Linked DNA regions of Arabidopsis thaliana. The protein of the gene in region 3 interacts with the protein of the main gene of each other region in a pairwise test. Each region holds a gene or a part of one and is shown on either strand. Other genes may lie near its edges.

Region 1 (6,077 bases), 6.9 Mb from region 3:
TGTACTGACATGGAGAGGATGGTGATGCAAGCCGGTCCCAATAAGCATCTTGTGTTGCTGCTGAACAAGATTGGTAAGTTCATATATTCAGTCTTTACTCGTGGACGTAATAAGTTGTTTGTTTACTCTGGGTGGTGTAATTAATTTTTGTAACTGATTCACTCTCTCCAGATCTTGTTCCCCGAGAGGCTGCTGAGAAATGGCTTATGTACCTTAGGGAAGAATTTCCAGCTGTTGCCTTCAAGTGTAGCACCCAGGAACAGAGATCAAACTTGGGTTGGAAATCATCTAAGGCATCAAAACCAAGCAATATGTTGCAGACGAGTGATTGTCTTGGAGCAGACACTCTTATCAAATTGTTGAAGAACTACTCAAGAAGTCATGAGGTTGGTTCCATAGTTTAAACTTTAATCATCCTACCTTAGCATCAAGTTATATCATTCAGTTTCAATTAAATCTTCCTTTGTTGTTCTTTGGCAGTTAAAAAAATCTATCACAGTTGGTATTATTGGACTGCCTAATGTCGGCAAGAGTAGTCTTATTAACAGTCTGAAGAGAGCGCATGTTGTCAATGTTGGTGCCACTCCTGGACTGACTAGATCTCTGCAAGAGGTTCACTTGGACAAAAACGTGAAGTTGCTGGATTGTCCTGGAGTTGTGATGTTGAAATCATCAGGAAATGATGCTTCCATAGCTCTCCGAAATTGTAAAAGAATCGAGAAGTTGGATGACCCAGTTAGTCCAGGTAATTGGATATAAGCTCAAGATAGAATCACACTTATTTTTGTGCTTTGTCTTTTAAAGGTTATAATCTGAGTGACCTAACTTGGAAATCTTCTGCTTTGTGAAAAAAATAGTGAAGGAAATTCTCAAGCTTTGTCCTAAAGATATGCTGGTGACTCTCTACAAAATCCCGAGCTTCGAGGCAGTTGATGATTTCCTTTACAAAGTCGCCACTGTAAGGGGTAAACTTAAAAAGGGTGGTCTTGTGGATATTGATGCTGCTGCCAGAATTGTTTTGCATGACTGGAATGAAGGTGCGGATCTTTTTTTGTTCCTCGTAAACTTGAAGCGTAAAAGCATTTTTGAAAACCAGTTTCTTAACTCATCATTGTCTCTAATATGAATGGTTATGCAGGTAAAATCCCATACTATACAATGCCGCCAAAGAGGGACCAGGGTGGACATGCAGAGTCAAAGATTGTGACTGAGCTGGCCAAGGATTTCAACATCGATGAGGTTTACAGTGGTGAATCCTCTTTCATTGGGAGCTTGAAGACGGTTAACGAATTCAACCCTGTTATTATTCCTTCAAATGGTCCTCTCAATTTCGATGAAACTATGATCGAGGTTGGTAACTTCTCTCGTGATTCCATTTGCTTGTAAATGACTCGGTCTGGATTTAATCTTTGTTTATGATGATGTATCACAAAAAAAAAAAACAGGATGAGTCTAAGACGCAGACGGAAGAGGAGGCTGAGCATGAGAGTGATGATGATGAGTCAATGGGAGGGGAGGAGGAGGAAGAGGCAGGAAAGACGAAGGAGAAATCAGAGACGGGGAGGCAGAACGTGAAGCTATACGCAGCGGAAAGCATGTTGAATACAAAGAAACAGAAAGCAGAGAAGAAGAAGAGGAAGAAAGCAAAGAAAGCAGGAGCTGATGAGGAGGATCTGATGGACGGAGATTATGATTTCAAAGTGGATTATAGGAAGAACAAAGATGGAGAAGACGAAGAATTCCAGATTGATGCTAAAATCCCAATGGCTGGACTTTTGCCTGAAGAATGAGTGATTGGAAACCACAACGTTTTTTTTTTTTTTTTTTTTTGTATTTGGCGTTTATGAGTCGGTCGGTTAAACTTTCTGATATATGTGCTTCATGAACTAGTAGTAATACTGAAGCGATTTTGATTTCTTTAATTAACGTTTCTTCTATTCCAATTCTGCTTTGCTTAACAAATATCTTAAGAACATTCAAAAATCATTGAGGTAAGTGTACTTCTTCGCCCTTCAGAAGAAAGTAATAATCTTTTACCCTTTCAGTTTCAGGTAACGAATGACGAAAACAACACCCGAGTTCAGTACATCAGATTTCTCTGTCTCTCTCTTGGAACTTCCAAACTCGACCATATCCGTCAAATTGAATTCCAAGTTGCAAATGTGAAAGCAGTTTAAACCCGTGTTGACTTTAACGCAAGTAAAGGACGTTGACTTTGTTGAGGTCCTTAAGGATAATTGATCAAAATGTTATGTGGCAGGCATGTAAGGTGTGAACCGAAAGCTTGGCTTTGCTCAAATTCAGCAAGTTCACCAAGAGAAACTAAATCAGTGAAGGAAAAAAGGTTCAAGCGAGACTCTGAGGAAGATGGCTTCGGCTACTGTTGATTTTGGGATCGGACGGATTCTTAGTGTCCTGGAAAACGAGACCTTGTTATTGTCAGGAGTCCATGGTGAGATTGATAAAATGAAGAAGGAGTTGCTGATCATGAAGTCCTTTCTTGAGGATACTCATAAACATGGTGGAAATGGATCCACAACAACAACAACTCAACTCTTCCAAACTTTTGTGGCAAACACGAGAGATTTGGCTTACCAAATCGAAGACATTCTCGACGAGTTTGGCTATCACATCCACGGTTATCGTAGCTGCGCCAAAATTTGGCGTGCGTTTCATTTCCCGAGGTATATGTGGGCGAGGCACTCGATAGCTCAAAAGCTAGGAATGGTTAATGTCATGATTCAATCCATTTCTGATTCCATGAAAAGGTACTATCATTCAGAAAACTACCAAGCAGCATTATTACCGCCTATTGATGATGGCGATGCAAAGTGGGTGAACAACATCAGTGAGTCATCTCTTTTCTTTAGTGAAAATAGTCTTGTAGGGATTGATGCACCCAAGGGAAAGCTCATCGGACGGCTTCTAAGTCCCGAACCTCAGCGGATTGTTGTCGCGGTGGTTGGGATGGGCGGTTCAGGGAAAACTACACTCTCAGCGAATATCTTCAAGTCTCAAAGTGTGCGGAGGCATTTTGAGTCTTACGCTTGGGTTACAATCTCGAAATCTTATGTGATTGAAGATGTGTTTAGGACCATGATCAAGGAGTTTTACAAAGAAGCAGATACACAGATTCCAGCTGAATTATACTCCTTAGGCTACAGAGAGTTGGTGGAAAAACTTGTGGAGTATTTGCAGTCGAAGAGGTACATTGTTGTGCTTGATGATGTATGGACCACTGGTCTATGGAGGGAGATAAGTATTGCTTTACCAGATGGTATTTATGGAAGTCGTGTTATGATGACTACTCGGGACATGAACGTGGCTTCTTTCCCATATGGAATTGGGAGCACAAAGCACGAGATTGAGCTCTTAAAAGAAGACGAAGCTTGGGTGCTTTTCTCCAACAAAGCTTTTCCGGCAAGTCTTGAGCAATGCAGAACGCAGAATTTGGAGCCGATAGCACGAAAATTAGTCGAGAGATGTCAGGGTTTGCCATTAGCTATTGCTTCTTTGGGAAGCATGATGTCAACCAAGAAGTTTGAATCAGAATGGAAGAAAGTCTACAGTACTTTAAACTGGGAACTGAACAACAATCATGAACTCAAGATTGTTCGAAGCATTATGTTCCTTAGCTTCAATGATTTGCCATACCCGCTTAAACGTTGTTTCTTATATTGTTCTCTTTTCCCTGTGAACTATCGGATGAAAAGAAAGAGGCTCATTAGGATGTGGATGGCACAAAGGTTTGTGGAACCGATCAGAGGAGTGAAAGCAGAAGAAGTGGCTGATAGTTACCTCAATGAACTTGTTTACAGAAATATGCTTCAAGTTATCTTGTGGAATCCTTTTGGACGACCCAAGGCGTTCAAGATGCATGACGTGATATGGGAGATTGCTCTATCTGTATCCAAACTTGAGAGGTTCTGTGATGTATATAATGATGACAGTGATGGTGATGATGCTGCAGAAACAATGGAGAATTACGGTAGTCGCCATTTATGCATTCAGAAAGAGATGACACCTGATAGTATACGTGCAACAAACCTTCACTCTCTTTTGGTTTGCTCTTCTGCTAAACACAAGATGGAATTACTTCCAAGTCTGAACCTTCTGAGAGCCTTAGACCTTGAAGACTCTTCCATCAGCAAGTTACCAGATTGTTTAGTAACTATGTTCAACTTAAAGTACTTGAATTTGTCCAAGACACAGGTGAAAGAACTGCCAAAAAACTTCCATAAACTCGTCAATTTGGAGACGTTGAACACAAAGCACTCCAAGATTGAGGAACTTCCTCTAGGGATGTGGAAATTGAAGAAGTTGCGATATCTCATTACTTTTCGCCGCAATGAAGGACATGATTCCAATTGGAATTATGTTTTAGGTACAAGGGTTGTTCCTAAAATCTGGCAGTTGAAGGATTTGCAAGTCATGGACTGCTTCAACGCAGAAGATGAGCTTATCAAAAATCTCGGGTGTATGACTCAGCTCACAAGAATAAGTCTTGTCATGGTTAGGAGAGAACATGGAAGAGACTTGTGCGATTCACTGAATAAGATTAAAAGAATTCGATTCTTATCTTTAACGTCGATTGATGAAGAGGAACCGTTAGAGATAGATGACCTGATCGCAACTGCAAGCATTGAGAAGCTCTTTCTTGCTGGGAAACTGGAGAGAGTACCAAGTTGGTTCAACACTCTTCAAAACCTTACCTATTTGGGTTTGCGTGGATCTCAGCTACAGGAAAACGCCATTCTCTCTATCCAAACGCTTCCTAGATTGGTATGGCTTTCATTTTACAATGCATACATGGGACCTAGGTTGCGTTTTGCACAAGGATTTCAGAATCTGAAGATTCTAGAGATAGTTCAGATGAAACATCTGACAGAAGTTGTTATAGAAGACGGTGCAATGTTTGAGCTTCAGAAGCTTTATGTCAGGGCTTGTAGAGGGTTAGAGTACGTACCAAGAGGAATTGAGAATCTTATAAATCTTCAAGAACTGCATTTGATTCATGTTTCTAATCAGTTAGTAGAACGCATTCGCGGAGAAGGGAGTGTGGACCGGTCAAGGGTTAAACACATTCCTGCGATTAAGCATTATTTCAGAACTGATAATGGCTCTTTCTATGTGAGCCTCTCATCTTAGGCGGCCAAGGCAAGCTTCATCATACAAGATACTGCACACTGTACTGTGAAAATCAGGGATGGATATTCACATAACTACTAAACGCCATGAGCTTACCAAACAGATTGATTGTCATGTGTTGTCTTTGAAAGTCAACAATCAGGTCTTCTCTTCACTCAAAGACAACATTTTTTTGCTGGTCTCATGAGTCAGTGCTAATGACTAAACAGCTCACTTCACAGCAGTTTCCACTGTTTTTTTTCGAAATTCATTTAAGTAAGATTTAATATGGTCAGCTGATTGTTCTGTAATTCTGTGTAAACATTACTTTGTTAAGACCTTAATATTGTTGACATTGTTATTTGAGTATCGGCTTCAACCAAGAAATTCCACTACCGTGTTAGTCTTCTAAATGAAAGTGGCTCATTCACAATCCCAAAAGTTAGGACCTTTACACTAATCGAAATAACCAGATACAGTTGGACTAAATACTTAATACTACTCCAAAACATTCCATTTTAAATTTCTCCTTAACTGATGGAAAAGTTTTGAAATTTTGAAAAGAAGAAAGTAAAAAAAATCTTGTTATCAACGATCCGCGGCGGTTAAAACGGAGATTATTATTGATGGATGGATATCTGGTCATTCGTGTTATCCACGTGCAACTAACGCACGTAAAAGACATACTAACCTCCCCGAAAATCGGATCCGGATCCGAAAATATCTGACCCGTTTTGAAGCGGTTTGACGAAAGACCGTTTTGGGCCTAGTCAATAGTAAAAATTAAAAACTCAAGGCTCTTTGGTGTCCCTTGGTATTACTATCGGCCTTTCCCGATGCTCTTTCTTCTTCATCTTGAAACTCGCGATTCCTTCTTCTCCTTCTAGGGTTTATTACTAAGGGTTTCTCTATCCTTAAATCTCATCTCTGTCCTTTCTTCTTCTCCAGAG
Region 2 (7,983 bases), on a different chromosome or scaffold from region 3:
TAATCACATTAGGCCATTAAAAAGCAAAGTGCCTTGTCTCTTCAAAGGCAAAGGGCCTTGTTTCTTCAAAGGCAAATTTGCAAAGCTCATATCGAGTAGGAGTTTTAAGAACAATGACTAACAATAACAAAAAGAAAAAAGAGTTTTGGAAGAGTTATGGCAATACACAAGAGTTCTCTTCCCTCTACTGTAATGACTTTTAAAGAGAGATTTGTGAAGACAAAACAAAAGATGAGTCATGATGGGGTTGGTTTTCGGTAAATGTTTGTGTTGTTGTGCAACTCCAACTACACAGTGTAGTGATGTCCTGCTGTATCAATGTCCAATCCCTTTAGCTTTGCGACTGATTCCACATGTCCCTTCAATGTGTGAAGCTCCCTAAGCCTGTCACAACATAATATTAAATCATTCACCAATCAGAACCTCTATCAAATGGCATCTTTCCGTTGAGATTCGTTTTAATCACACTACTTACCTAGCTATCTCGGCCCTTCTCTTGGCTTGCTCTGCGATCTCAGACAGCTCTCTGTAACTTCCTTTCTCTGGGAAGATATTAACATCTTCTTTTGGCTGCAGACCGTGCAATGTCCTTTGAGCTTGTGCCCATTGAGCTTCTCTTTCTCCAATACCGTAATCTTTCTTGGTTGTGAAAGCGGTCTGTTAACATAGAAGAAGATGTGATTAGTATGTTACCATCAGCTTGTAAAAGAGGTCTCTATAGTGGTAGATAGACTTGTATGTACCCTGTTGTCAAACAAGCTGGCCCAAGCCTTTCCACTCAAGATATACCGAATGGCAAACTTCAAAATGTCCTGTGGGAAGTATGTTACGATACTGTAAATCCAAATCACACCTGCCCATCCCCAACCGATACCCTTCACCTTTGCAAATGTCCAGTCGGCATACACTGCGATCAAAGTTGCAACCTGCATTTGGAAGGAGTGAATGAATTCAGTGGGTTTCTTTAACCTAATCGAAGTTCAGAAAATATGTGTGCTTGATGTCCTTACCAGTTGTGCAATGACGAATGCAATCATCAGAAGCGCCCCAGGACGTTCGACAAATGACCAACTCCTTGACCTGGTGACAAAGATTAGAGCTTGACTGATGATACTAACTTGTAGATACACAGCACCCATTAGTTCATCGTTATTGTCCCTGATTGACCTCACACCGAACTTGTCCTGCAAATCGAAGGTGAGACAATTTTTTAAGACTCAGAGCAAAAGGCCTGGCCATATATATCTATATAGTCCCTGAAGCACCTGTACCAAAAAAAAGAGAAAAGAAATGAAAATAAACTGATGATGTACCGAGAAAAAGTCGGTCTTGTGAGCAGCCCAGAAGAAAATAACACTCATAATGGCTTGGTAGCCTCCCAGCACAATTCCAGTGGCGAAAATTTCTTTGAGCTTCCAGCTATCAGGTGTGGGAGATGGCTTGACTCTGTCCTTTGAGATTGTCATGATAGTACCTAAAAGGTAGTAACACATAATACCATAAGATATAGCTGATAACGAGTGAGGACGCTGTCTAGAAAAGTAGGATGTTATTTGCTCACCATCATTAAGGATGGCAATAATCAGAACCATGAACGCTGAGAAGTCAAATTCCCATATCAAAGCAATAAGCATGAAACCAAACTGCAAGAGTTACAACGCAATATGATCAGTATACAAAAAGTAAAATCATGCTAAACAAGTGATAGATTTGTAAAACGGGTTTCTACTTACCACAATACGGATTGTGATTGAGACTGCATAAATCTGTCACAAGCAGGAAACTAAAATTATTAGTTTCCAGCGCAAACGAACACAAGTGGTGGGCATAATATATTAGAGTGAGATTAAGAATACGCACGGTGTAGTTCTTCATTCTCTGGAAGATAGCTCTGCTAGTGAGAACGGCACTGATGATGACACTCAGCCCAGGTTCCGTGAGGACGATATCTGAAGCACCACGAGCAGCATCTGTAGCATCGGCCACAGCAATACCGATATCTGCTTTCTTCAAAGCGGGTGCATCATTAACACCATCACCGGTCATACCAACAATGTGCTTCCTCTCCTGCAGCTTTTTCACAATTTCATATTTGTGCTCTGCAATCAGTAACCATAAGAACCTTGGATCAATATAACAAAACTTTATAATGAACATGTGATGAGGTTTGAAACTGAAAGCAAGGCATAACCTGGAAAGACGCCGGCAAACCCATCAGCCTTCTCGATCAACTCCTCAACAGGGATGGATGCAATGTTCGAGTCCTTGTCGGTACCGAGAAGAGCCGCAGATGGATACATATTGGTTCCCATTCCAAGCCTGCGACCGGTTTCCTTACCAATAGCAAGTTGATCACCTGGCAACGTAGTTAGAGCGCAAGTTAGGGGAAAACATCTAAATAACCATGGATTTCATGGGAAAAAAATGATGAATAAGAATAGTTACCAGTGATCATCTTCACATTAACACCTAGATTCAACGCCCTACGAATGGTTTCGGCACTGTCGTGTCTTGGAGGGTCAAAAAGAGGCAACAAGCCAACAAATTCCCATGGTCCACCTGGGCTTTCTTTTGTTTTCTCGGGTACCACCTAAAAAGGAATATGCAATTAAACAGTTGATTTACAGGCCAAAAAAAAAACCCAAATAAGACCAATGTAAAAATTGCTTGTAAAAAAGTACCTGACGAGCTACTGCCAACGACCTAAGACCGCGCTCAGCGTACTTGTCAATACAAGAGAGTACCTTCTTCCTAAGGTCAGGCCTGGCATTGGCAAGGTCAAGGATCTGTGTGGGAGAATCGAATTAGTACACAGAATAAAGGAAAAACGCAACATCTTTAGGAGAAAGTTGAAGATTCATCACCTGCTCGGGAGCACCTTTGCTGACTCTGTGCCAGTTACCATCAGAGTCGATGTAAGTCAAAGCAGTTCTCTTATCCACAGGGTTGAATGGAAGGAAGTGAACCTCTCTGATTCCAGCTCGGGCCTATGAAAATCCAAGTGAAACATAAGAAATTAAGAACTTGTTTTCTCGACCTTTCACTAAACTAAAGAAGTAATTCAAAATGATTAGAGTTATACCTCTTTCGGATCAGCAAGCATTCCAACCATGGCTGCATCAATAGCGTCCTGGTTCTCCACCCTAGAAGCCATAGCTGCAAATAGTAGAACTTGATCTTTCTCCACACCCTTGCAGAAAACCTCAACCAAGTTTTTATCCACACTCAATTTATTAAGGGTTAGTGTCCCGGTTTTGTCACTGCAAAGGACATCCATTCCCGCCATTTCTTCAATGGCTGTCATACGTTTGGTGATAGCACCTTGCTGAGACAACCTGTGAGACCCGATAGCCATAGTCACAGACAAGACCGTGGGCATAGCAATGGGGATACCACCGATCAAGAGGACCAAGAGATTGTCAATTCCATCTCTGTACTTTCGGTGTTGGATAGGGTACATGACGACTATTTCAATCGCTATACCAATAGCAATAGAACAGATACAGAAGTTTCCAATGGATGTAAGAACTTTCTGGAAGTGCCCAACTTGGTTAGTGCTGTCCACAAGGTGAGCAGCTTTACCAAAGAAGGTGTGAACTCCAGTGGCTATAACAACCGCTTCGATTTCTCCTTGTTTACAAGTTGAACCAGAGAAAACTTCTTGACCAGGGTGCTTGGTCACAGGAAGGGACTCTCCAGTTAGAGCAGACTGATCAACCTTTAAAGGATCTCCTTCAAGAAGACGGGCATCGGCTGGGATAATGTCTCCAAGTTTAATGCTAACAATATCACCTGGGACAAGGATAGCAGCCTCTTGTTCACTCCATTTTCCATCCCTAAGAACCTGAAAACAGAGAAACAGGTTAAGCTCTCTAGAAGTCTCGAAATATCTTGTACAGTAATGTCACAGCATCCACCAACATATTACCTTGGTTTTAGGAGCAAGACCAGCCATGAGAGCAGCTGCAGCATTTCCGGCGTTGTTTTCTTCAATGAAACTGATTGTGGAGTTGATAACAAGCAGACAGATAATACCCACAAAATCTTGCCAATCCGGAGGTCGATTATCACCATTAGCCAAAGCAATGGCCATGAGAGCTGCAGCTTCCATAACCCATGAAAGCGGATTCCACATGAACCCCAGAAACTTCAGAATTTTGCTTTCCTGATATTTTTTTACGAAAGATCAACCTCGTGAGTTAAACAAAACCAAAGCTTTCAATGATGATAAAACAACAATGCTAAGTCAAACTCAAACCTTCTTCTCTTCGAGCTTGTTGGGGCCAAATATCACAATCCTGTCTTCCCCTTCCTGCGTTGTCAATCCTTCCCTTGTACATTTTAGCTGCTGGAAAACTTCCTCAATCGGAATTTTTTCCTGAGAATCAAAGCAAAAGTTTTGATCAGAACCCAAACAATAGTAACTCAAACATCAAACAAGAACAAAAGGGTAAAAAAGACAAAAACTTTTCTAGTTTTGAAATCTTTTTACAAATGTCAGAAACGATCCAACTCGGCGACTCGGAAGATGAAGAGTGGCGTTGACTCAAGTTGTGACAATGAAAGGTGAAAAGAATCTGGCAGTGGAGGATAGAGGGACCACCACCACCACCACCACTACTACTACTACTTCAATGCACGTGTTATGGAACGTGTAACACACGCGCCTGCGGGATTCCCTCCATGAAAGGTGGCTACTTTCCGGCGTGAAAGCCAAAGTCCGGTTAAGGGTATTTCGGTCATAAAACAATTTCACTAAACAAAATCAATTACAATAGAGGAATTCACAAGTTGCTTCTACTGATAGATGTTTTACAAAAGGACAAAGAAGTTCAAAAAAAAAAAAAACGTACTACGGAAAGGTACATCAAAAAAATTCGAACATCAACAACAATTTAAAAAAAAGTTGAAAACTTAAATTTATTAAAAACTCTGGTATTTTTCATGGGTGGAAGATAGAAGAATATTATGAACTGCTTTAACATCAAAAACGTTATCTTTACAAAAAAAAGATGATTTTTTTTAGAGAAAGAAAGTTATATATCACAAGCAAAATCAAACTTTTTGCGATTTTTTTCTCTTTTAATAAATATGTGAAAGAGACTTTTGTTGAGACGTAGCTTAAGCTTAGCTCCACCACTAAAAAGACTTATCTTTTTATTCAGCGTTTCACATGTGTGTAGTTTTTGGGTAGATCTACTTTTTCTGATGAACAGTATCAAAATCTACTTATTTTTGGCTTAATACCTAAAACCTTTAAAAGACATCTGTTATTTTACCCTAATTTTAGACCAAAATTAATAAAGTTGGAATCTTGATTTGGGTTTTGTATAGGATCCATGATAGAATCATCGAAAATGAGGCAGATACAATTGGGGGGAAAAATCGGTTTTTTTTTTTTTTGCGGATTTTTCGGGTTCTTGAGGAATTAAGATTCAGTTTTCGATCAAAGAAAAAAGGAGTAGAATCATCGGAAAATGATTTGAAGAAAAAAGGGTAAAAGAATCAAACGTGAAACCATGCAAGGAACAACAACGAAACAGATCTATTTCTCATTCAAGCAAATCATCGAACACTTTGTGGGCATGATGAATAAACACTAAAAATGAAATTAAAAACTCGAAGAATTTAAGCGAGAAGAGAATCGAAATAATACCAGATCAACGGTCTCGTTCTTGATATCTTCGAGACCTGACATCTTCACCCAGAAGAAATCAACAAAACGACGCCCCTCTCTGTCGTTTCACCACTCGATCACACACACACACACGAGAGAGAGAGAGAGAAAGCGAGCTTCTGTTGCAGAGGAGATATACGCCTTCTCTTTTTATAACCACTCAAAACGACGAAACTCTCCACCGTTTCAGACTTTTATTTTTCATTCATTTCGACCGTTGATTATGATTTGGTGATCATCAATGGTTGTTAATTGTTTATGGGTCCTTTCTCACTTGGAAAACGTATATTTGACTTTGGATTTTTGGTTTTATAATTAAAATTTCAGATATCATACTGTTTTTTGAAACATTGTTTACTTAAACTGGTTTTATACTCTGATCCTGTAATGTAAGAGAATCTATATTTATTTTTTTCTATTAAGAGAAACTTTTTACTTTTGAGTATCAAATTTAGTAGAAATCTTAACATTAACACAAATTTAGGATAATATACTAAACTTACATAAGAAATTTAATTCTATGGAGTTAGTATTTTTCTAGATATTTATGCATATTAGAATATGATTTAAAAGACAAAACTGTAATGTATAGATTTTAAAAAATTATACAGTATTGAATTATCATAAGAAAAATATCTAAGATAAATTTAAATTTTTGATTAATATTGTGGTTATGTATGGACAGAAAATATGCACAATCATAAGTTCTTCACTGATATCTTTTTGTGTATATAAAATTGATAATCAATAAGGAAAAATAATATACATAATAATTATATGAACATTGAATAATGCTTAAAATTTGGGTTCTTTTTTGTTCCCAAAGAGTTGTGCAAAGCTAATCTTAATGACTTCTATATAAGTTACTCATTTTGAAGGAAAAAAAAAACAAACAAAATTTAAAATACATACATGGATTTGTGAATATACATATATATATATATATATATATATAGAGAGAGAGAGAGAGAGAGAGAGAGAGTAATATAGATATAACATGTATATTTGATATATGTGTGTAGATACTAACTTTATAATTCCCTATGAGACAAATGCAAAAGTTATTTTCTAGATCAACCTAATTTGCTCATAAGTTTAATTTTCATGTTGATTGTTTAGGTCGGACTTTTAAATCAAAGTGTTTTTAAAACAATTCGTATGTAAACATTTTTCCTTCGGATTATACAACCAATCAAAAAGTTGAATTTTAATTAATTTGTAATTGGAAAATTAAAATCAACCCGTATAATACTAATTTGTTTAATAATATGTTAAATAATAGTGGCGAAGTAGAAACCGAGAAAATAAAAATTTAAATGATAATTACTAATTGAGATAAAAAAAACTAAATATTTTCTAAGTTTAGTGAAACATAAAGTTAAAATGACGATTCTAAAACACTATTTAAGAATACCGATGTTGAAAAGAGATGTTCATAAATTTATTACTGATGTTCAAATAAATTAACTTGACCTGTTTTAAAGGTGGTGAGTACACTAAATTAACTTGATTTGGTCTCTTAAGGAAATTAAAAGACAAGTGTGAAAAAAAAAAAAAAAATTAAAAGACAAGTTTCTTCCAGAAAAAGGGATGTTTTGAAATATAAAATTAGGTTTAGACACAGATTATAAAATTTAGGAGTTTGGGGGAAAATATTCAGATGACGTCGATCTAAAACTATAATAAAACACATATTAAGCTAGTAATGATATAAAACAATTTGTTATATGTGAAATTTTGGTAATCCTAATCTCATATTTATGGCTTTAAAGGATTGTAATGAAGCAATGGCTCTTCCAAGGTGCCTCATGGCAAGGTCAGCAATTGCTGGAACAATTCACATGTTTGTGGATATCATTATTTTTGTAATTTAACCAAAAATTGTTTTCAAGGTTATTTATTTATTTATTCAGCAAATTGGCTGATGAATATTGACTTTTTGATCGTGCTGGGTCCCCCAATAATACACCTCCCCTACGTAATTTTTTTTTCTTGCTTCCATAAATTCGATTGTATTTTATCTAAAAGATCGATTTCATAAGAGAATTTTAAAAACAAAGAAACAAGAAGATGATGGTTTAATTCAACTGGATATATATCGGCACATATGGGCAGGTTTTTCTCATTTATTATTTGATCATTTATGTATCTGATAGACAAAATCAATTTAACTTTCATAGGTAAATACATAAAAGTATTTATTTAAATGTGTATGCTTTTTTTTTTAGGATTTCAAAAAGTTAAATTTATTCGTCATATTCTTTGTTTTTATAACAAGGAAATATAAAACCAACATCCAAATAATC
Region 3 (4,470 bases):
TAGAGACAACCGAGATTAGTTGTTTTGAATTCGCGATGTTTTATTATTTTATTTTCGTCATTACTCCTACTATTTTAGTATATGTTACTATTTTAGACTTTTAGTTAGATTTAAATATTTAATTACTTTATTATTATTGTTAGACCATGGTATAATTATTTTTATATTTATATTTATACAAACTAATAATTTCTATAATATTAAATAAATTTTAATCAATTGATCCGTGGTCGAATCCGGTTGATCCATTGACCCCGTGACCTAAAAAGTAGTCTAGTTCACCATCCAGGTCGGGTTTAAAAAGATTGCATTTAAGTCTAATTATTGGGCATAGAGAATGCTGAAATAGTAAGTACATAAAGCTGGAGAATCAAACCTGATTACACTGTACAAAGCCATATAGGAAACAAGTGTCAATTCGTTCTTCTTTGATGTCCATATCATATGGACCATACGAGTCATCATCCTCCAAAGATCTTAATCTTGATTTTATATAAAAAGTTATGGGTCTTTCTTTATAGTGGTGCAGAGTTAAGGCTTTGAACATTAGAAACAACAAACTTGGAGGTACCCAAATATCTCTGATTCATATCAAATCAGTTACCAAATCACTCAGGCCGTACCAAGCAAGATATAATGCATCTGCAAGCAGATCCGAAACTGGAATGTGTCTTATGAAAACACCAAAAGTATTAAGGAAGAATTGCAAAATATACATACAAAAATTATACTATAAAAATCTTATGCAAGTGAGACTTATGCCTTATTTCATCTAAAGAAGCACGAATGTCTAATCATCAAGATTACACACTGATTTCTCGATAACTATATACAATCTTCCGGTCCCTTTCATTTTCCTCCAAAGCCAAAGCAGCAACACTGTCAAATTGCACAAGACAAACCAATGTTCAACACACACTCACTATTTGAATACGTATTCACTAATGATTATACTTGAAAATGAGTTTTAAAGAATGTCTTACTGAGGAAGTGTTGTTCGGGTTACGGGAGCTTTGATGAGTCGGCGTTCTTGAAGATCCACTCACATTTGCTCCAGAACTTCTCTCTTCACGGACTTTATTGAAGATATGCGTGTATCCGTCAGCTGATGACGGGTTGTTCTCGTCCCAGTCACCGAATTTAGGCACCACTGTGACTTTTTCAGGCTATATATAAACAGATGACAACACATAAGCAACAAACAGAGATATTCTCACTTTAGAGGTTAAAAGTGAGATTCTTACACTTTCATCAGCTCTAAGGTTGGTAGGTTTAGGCCTAGATTTTCCAGTACCATCATAAGAATTCTTATGCAAAGGTGACTTGTTGTCATAACTATTGTTCTGAGAAGCTCTTCCTTGTCTTTTGTTAGCAGCTTCATTTGATGAACCACCAGCATCACCAAACTGTTTCAACTCGCTCTCTTCTCGGCTTCTCATATGCTCACGTGATCTTCTAACCGTGTCAACTTGCTCAGGTTTGGTTCTGGAAGAAGGAGGATGAGGAGGAGCTTGTGATTGAGAGTCAGAGTTATACTCCGGGTCATTCGGGTTCATGATCTTGCTACCGGGTGCTCGAGTCTTACGAGCTTTGTCAAAGTAAGCTGTGTAAGGAACATTCTCCTCAGCTTCCCAGTTTCCAAATTTTGGTACATTCGAACGCTGTTGCAACAAACAATTCAACAACAATGTCCTTCCACAAAACATTCAATAACATAACATCCTAAAGAACAATCATCACAGAAACAAGATAGCAAATTCACTTAAGAATCCAAAACAGAACAAATACAAATTGGGTTTATCGATTTCGACCAAGTACAATGATAAAGTTGAAATCTTTGCTAAGCAAAAATAGAAACTTTACCATAAAAATAGTAACTTTCATAAAACCCTTTTCTTATCTAAAGCAAATCAGAATCATAAAGTTGAATACTAATAGACATCGCAATCCATAGAAATGTTATCTCAATAGGAAGAACCATAAATGCAAATAGATTAAGACTCAACTTTCTACAAATCCTCCAAAAAAAGGGTCAGAGATTGACGGAATCGAAACAAAAACTATAATCTGAGAGAAAGCTCTAGACCTAAATAAGAAGAAGAGGAGAAGGAAAGAAGGAAAGAAAACACTTACTGCCATGGGAGAGAGGTAGCTAAAGAATTGAAGTCTGAAGCTTTTGTTAGGTTTGAGAGAGAAAGACAGAGAGAGATGTGAGAAGGAGAGGAGACGAAGAAGAAGTTTTATAAAAGCGTTGACTAGTGGTGATGCTATGTATTCTTTGACCCTTCCTCTCCTCTCTCTAATCTTCTCTTCTCTCTTTGTCTCACTCCAAACTCTATTAATTTCATTTCTTAACTCTATTACTAAATTTTCATGTATTGTCAAGAGCACTCAAACGCCGTTACCGTTACCGTCACCGTTAAAGGCGGCTTTATTTTGGTGTCCATGTTACATTGTTTTCCTCTTAAAAGATTGTAATAAATATTTTTGTCCTAAAGAATTGGATATGTGGGTCGGAAGCAACTTTTGGTGGAATCTTCTGCTCTAGTAGATAAGTTTTGTGGATCTAATAATTATATGCTAATAGAATAATTTGATTATTGATAGCAACAATGTTACAATGTTATAGCAGAATTTAGTGAATTATTGATCTTGGATTTTAGCGGATTAATGAGTAGTAATAACTGAAATTTCTTTTGGTGACGATTGGTACCAATTCGTCTATAGATAGGTTACCATTTGAATCAACTACTTGCAATTTTTGTGATACAAATAGTACAATAACTATTTTTACAAATATCGCCATTTAACGCTAGTACGTATACTTTTATTATTTACACTCATAGTTTTTTTTAGAGAAAACTTAAAAGTGTTTTGTGAAGAGTACTACAAAGTGATAGTAAGTAAATAAAAAGTGTTCTACGAGTACAAGGAAAAAAAAAAGGCAGTATGAACAAAATAGTTAGAAAACTAGAAATGAGAAAGTTATCATCAAAGGTGGTTGACCACAACTACCTAATCTCTTTTTGATCTTAGTTGATGTTTAAGGTTTTAGCACACTAATCAAGAAACTAATTAAATGATCAATTGTTTCTTGGTTTTCACATTAAAACATCATTTATAAAACTCAACAAAATTATTCAACCAATAACAAAAGAAAGAATTGAAAATGTTTATGAGAAATTGAGAATATTAACTTCTGAAAAGAAAAAGAAAATAATCATATGGAGACTTTTTGTGTTAGCAAAGTCAAAGCTGCCTCTTTACACTGAAAGACCCTTTTGAGAATTTACGTACCTCTTTCTTCCAAGAACAAATAACATGTCTCGTAGCATCTATTATCGAATCACCAATGACAATAAGATGTTCACTAAAAACCATAATTGGAACATTATTTTAGTAATTTTTTACTAGACAAAGTTGAAAAATGGAAAGTATTCAGCGTTGTTCACATCAATTTATTTGTGGTTGCCGTAGCGATAATTATTCAATGCTCCCGTACTCATACACACGTGAACTATATAGTCCACACGTACAAGTGTTTTCACATGGTTAATGCCTTAATGGGAATATTTTAGAGATTGTTCACGAAAAAATAAGAAAGATCAAATCAAAGAAGACAGATCGTTCAGCTTCATCAGTTTCTCAACGTGAGTGTGTCTTTTTATTTTTTGTAGTCAAGTGATATGGTTAGTTAAGACTAAAGACAACTAAGAGATCGTGTGCATTCTTAATTCTTTTGGTGTTATTTAGTTTTGGAGCGTTACTCTATTTTTGGGACATACAACAATCCACCCCAAATCAAGTTTATTTTATATAAATTGGTCCACGACGGATTTCTTCTATTTGTCTCAATCCATACTCTTACGGACTATAATATATAAAATGGTTCAATCCGCAAACGAATTTGTCCGCCACAACCATACAAACCAGTGTCACAAAGCCACAAAGGTAAGGGTTTCTCAATACATTATTTAAGGGGTTTATCACTCTCTTAGTCTCTTTAATAAGTCTCAATTCTTAAGTCTCTTTCACATTTGTCAATTAACTTGAATTTGCACTTTGGTACTCTGCTTTTCTCAAAGGGACCAAGAACCTCTTGGTATTTTCTTCTCACTAAAATTGAAATTGACCCGGTTTGGTTTTCTTGTTCAACGCGTGGAATGTATTGTTAGAGTTTTTGACTAAAACCTCACTCCAAAATAGGGCCACATGAGTCAGAAATGGATGTATATATACATACTGAAATAAGAATGGATGCTCATAGAGACAGAACTATTCGACTCCGGAACATACATCTCTTATCTCAGTTTTCAAGTTCCTCAACACTTGCAACATGTGATAATGTTCATGGTGACTCAGATCTTCCATGAGAAAAGTTCGAAGCTCCCCATTTACTTCGATCGCGCTGTAGCCTGGTACCTTCTCCATGGCCCCATTTCTCATCAACTTCCTCACTTTGGCCACTTC
Region 4 (3,304 bases), 1.9 Mb from region 3:
ATGACCCTACCAAAATGATATGTAATAGAACAACTAGCGACTATTCTCAAGGCAAAGTCATACTTAAATTAAATATCTAGCACACTTAATTACTTTATATTCTACAATATGTGGTTGGTTAATTATTGAACTTGAACGTTAAGATATTGTCGTACGGACAAGAAAAATAACAACCCCAAATTTTTTTATTATCGAATATCCAACCTTCTTCTATGAATCATGTCATTTTTGTTGACTTATTTGTCGATCAATTTTATAAAAATATATCAATGGTTTAGGGACGGTTTCAATTCTGTGATAGAGTAGTAATCAAATTTATTTGTTATTGCAATAAATATAGAATTTAGTAATTTTATTTGGAATAATTGCTTAAAAATCATAAACTAATGGTCCTTTTAGATTATTCATTTATGGAGTTTTTATAAGTTTCTTTTCCCCATTTGAACGGTTATATTCACTGTTATATAATTATGTACTTCTTTTTGGTGGTATATATGTTATGTTTCTTTGTTCCTTGATTTGAAACCCAACATATAATTGTTTCTTGTACATATAAAAAATGGATAAAATGATTTTCAAATAGAATTTTGTTGATGGAAACTAATACATAGTTAAAACAAAAAAAATAAGGGATAAATTATGCAATGAAGAAAATGGAACTAAGGATCACAACAAAACTCATGAAATAGTCAATAATCAAAATCAACAAAACCAAGAAATGAAAAACCTGAAAATCAACACCATTAATGAAGTTAACGAATAGCAAAGAATACGAGTAAATTCATCAAAACACTAATCGGAAAAGAGCTTCTTAATGGAAAAGAAGAATCAGATTTCTTCATCTTAATTCCTTTCTTCTGAGCTTTAACTCCATCACCGTTGACTTCAACATCAGCTCCAACTTCAACCCCATACCTCTTAGTTTTCCAAAAAACAATCTTGAATCTAACTTGAGTCTTGAGATCCAACCTGAAAACAGCCGATCCATTAGGCAAAACCGCTCGTAAAACCGTCTGGTTGTTTAGCGGCTTTACTTGACCCCACTTCTTGGCCTTCTTCTTGTGTCCTTGATAGAACTTAGGCACTGTGTAGTTACCAACTAAGACAAGAGCAGATGAATTGATCTTGGTCGTGTTGATGGTGGAAAAATTAAGGTGGACATCGTCGTAGTAGATTCCTTTGTCTTTATTCGGATTGTCACAACGAACCATGAAATTTAGAGTGGTATTGTCTCGTGAATTTGGGTCTTTTCCGAGGGCAGGAATGAAAAAGTTTTGGATTGAGCATTTGGGTTTGTCCGCACGGAGACTAAGCCATAAGAAAAGAGAGGTGAGACCAGCTGTGAAGATGAAGCTTAAGCAGCAAGTACAACAGTTTCGACCACCTTCTGTGTCTTCATTTTGATTATTCATTTTTTTTTTGTTTTCAAGAATTTGGTATTTTTGTCGGAAAGATGAAGAAGATGATGTTATAAGATTTTGGTTTGCTGATTGGTTGATATTTCAAGTTGACTCAAAAGAGACGACTCAGTAGGACACACACGCACACACGCGTTTAGCCAAATACATAACAAAACAAAAACAAATTAATGGACGTAAGAAGATAAATTAAAAAAAAACCTATATAAACTTTGGGTTATCAAAAAGAACCAAAACAAGAATTAACGAGGGATGTCCCATAACAGAAAACTGAATCTTATTCCATTTATTTACATAAAATAAGGAAAAAAACCCTACTGAAACATACAAACTACACAAGAAACTAAGGAAAGAGAAACTCTAATTATGTTTTTGGAATTTCAAAGATCTAAAAATATGGTGAGATAAAGATTAGTTTTTTTCTTATTTTATTTTTTGGTCAGTGGCCTAGTGGCTAGTTTTTCTAGTCTCATACTGACTGTATCAAAATACGAAATTGTATTTATTATATATGGTTTCATATAGCTTGTTGCCATAAAAAACTATGGCCAGGCCCAAACCCTTTTGCTGAACCATACTGTATATAGGACTCGGGTCGAATTGGATGGACTCTCATGCTTAAACCATAATTAGCAACACTAATCAAAATACAAATTTCAAAAGTAATTTTCTTAATATATATATATATATATATATTTTTTTAAATATATATTCAATCCCAAAATGTGCTTAGTTGGCTAAAGGGCCAAGAGAATTACAAGGTACAAAATAAAAGAGACCCAAAACGAAACCTTAGGAAAACAAGACCTTCACACGTTTTCGTTCTCCTAAATAGACTTTTTGTAAGAAGTTTACATCTTACCATCCACATTAATTCTTGATTTCACAACCAATGGCAATGAGCAATCCGCTATATATATATATATATATATATATGTAAACTTTGTTTGGAAAATTCAATCTAGAAATGTCAAGGTAATTCGAACTACTTGATTATCGTATATCTAAAACATTGTTATCGAACATAAACTGAAAAAAGAAACTGAAATAATTGTTTGATAAACAAAAAACTGAAAATCTACTAGATTGATAAAACCTGAAAAAAGAAACTGAAATAATTGTTTGATAAATAAAAAACTGAAAATCTACTAGATTGATAAAACTAAATTCATATTCGCTTTATTTATGAAAATGCAATAACTCTGAACTGAAACAGAGAACTAGTATCCAAATTATTCTGGAATCCGCATGAGTAAATCTAAGACTAGATATTGTTAAACTGCTTTGAATATCTCTTATATTGTTTGATTCATTTTTTAGTTAAACTATTTAGTTTTACCAGGTATAGTTTATATTAGATTTTTAAAAGTGTCAACTATAGTAAAAGTTTAAAATATTATTAACTCTAAGCTTTAATATTTATTTTATATTTTTAACATTATTAATATTAAACATATCAAATTAAATTTCTTTGATTAAAATTATGTGAAACTAAAATTATTTTATAATATACCACATGTGAAATTCTTATATTACTACCAACCAATGTAAATTGTGTCACATGGTTCACTGAATAGATTCGTTAGGAAAATGATCTAGAAAAGATTATTGTTTGATGTAATCGATGTCAACTTTCACAATAAATGAATAAACGAAACAAAATGTTTTAAAATACTACCGCGTCTTTTTAAATTATAAATCTGATGTAGACTGTAGTGCTGTTTCATGCAAAGATATAGATAGTTTTTATGACCCAAACAAAATAATTTTTAACAGACTAAACTGACTCGCAAAGTCGTACTAAAATATTTTGCACAGTTAACAATACAATATTCAATTGGTTAGTATCGATCTTGAAAGTTAAGATAACTACCCCAAATATCGAA

Evidence for each region.
Region 1: the proteins of RIN4 (region 3) and RPM1 interact in a two-hybrid assay, tested with the Arabidopsis thaliana proteins (2 studies listed by BioGRID).
Region 2: the proteins of RIN4 (region 3) and HA1 interact in a two-hybrid assay, tested with the Arabidopsis thaliana proteins (one study listed by BioGRID).
Region 4: the proteins of RIN4 (region 3) and NDR1 interact in a two-hybrid assay, tested with the Arabidopsis thaliana proteins (one study listed by BioGRID).

What each region holds. Positions count from the first base shown.
Region 1 is NC_003074.8:2,225,315-2,231,391, reverse strand, and holds RPM1 (NB-ARC domain-containing disease resistance protein), read left to right. Parts: upstream 1-1,836; 5' UTR 1,837-2,367; coding exon 2,368-5,148; 3' UTR 5,149-5,537; downstream 5,538-6,077. Other genes in the region: NSN1 (GTP-binding family protein), read left to right, coding at 1-73, 172-386, 481-745, 858-1,037, 1,139-1,350, 1,446-1,790.
Region 2 is NC_003071.7:8,219,573-8,227,555, reverse strand, and holds the start of HA1 (H[+]-ATPase 1), read right to left. Parts: upstream 6,043-7,983; 5' UTR 5,699-6,042; coding exon 5,657-5,698; intron 5,404-5,656; exon of another isoform or gene 4,379-5,403; coding exon 4,259-4,378; intron 4,166-4,258; coding exon 3,929-4,165; intron 3,845-3,928; coding exon 3,083-3,844; intron 2,988-3,082; coding exon 2,865-2,987; intron 2,787-2,864; coding exon 2,682-2,786; intron 2,591-2,681; coding exon 2,446-2,590; intron 2,357-2,445; coding exon 2,192-2,356; intron 2,100-2,191; coding exon 1,861-2,099; intron 1,767-1,860; coding exon 1,734-1,766; intron 1,644-1,733; coding exon 1,562-1,643; intron 1,475-1,561; coding exon 1,314-1,474; intron 1,185-1,313; coding exon 1,011-1,184; intron 927-1,010; coding exon 744-926; intron 658-743; coding exon 476-657; intron 385-475; coding exon 288-384; 3' UTR 1-287. UniProt on the Arabidopsis thaliana protein: The plasma membrane H(+) ATPase of plants and fungi generates a proton gradient that drives the active transport of nutrients by H(+)-symport. The resulting external acidification and/or internal alkinization may mediate growth responses.
Region 3 is NC_003074.8:9,130,127-9,134,596, reverse strand, and holds RIN4 (RPM1 interacting protein 4), read right to left. Parts: upstream 2,460-4,470; 5' UTR 2,140-2,459; coding exon of another isoform or gene 2,134-2,139; 5' UTR 1,707-2,133; coding exon 1,245-1,706; intron 1,167-1,244; coding exon 984-1,166; intron 880-983; coding exon 850-879; 3' UTR 509-849; downstream 1-508. Other genes in the region: AT3G25060 (Tetratricopeptide repeat (TPR)-like superfamily protein), read right to left, coding at 4,276-4,470.
Region 4 is NC_003074.8:7,192,985-7,196,288, reverse strand, and holds NDR1 (Late embryogenesis abundant (LEA) hydroxyproline-rich glycoprotein family), read right to left. Parts: upstream 1,519-3,304; 5' UTR 1,413-1,518; coding exon 753-1,412; 3' UTR 520-752; downstream 1-519.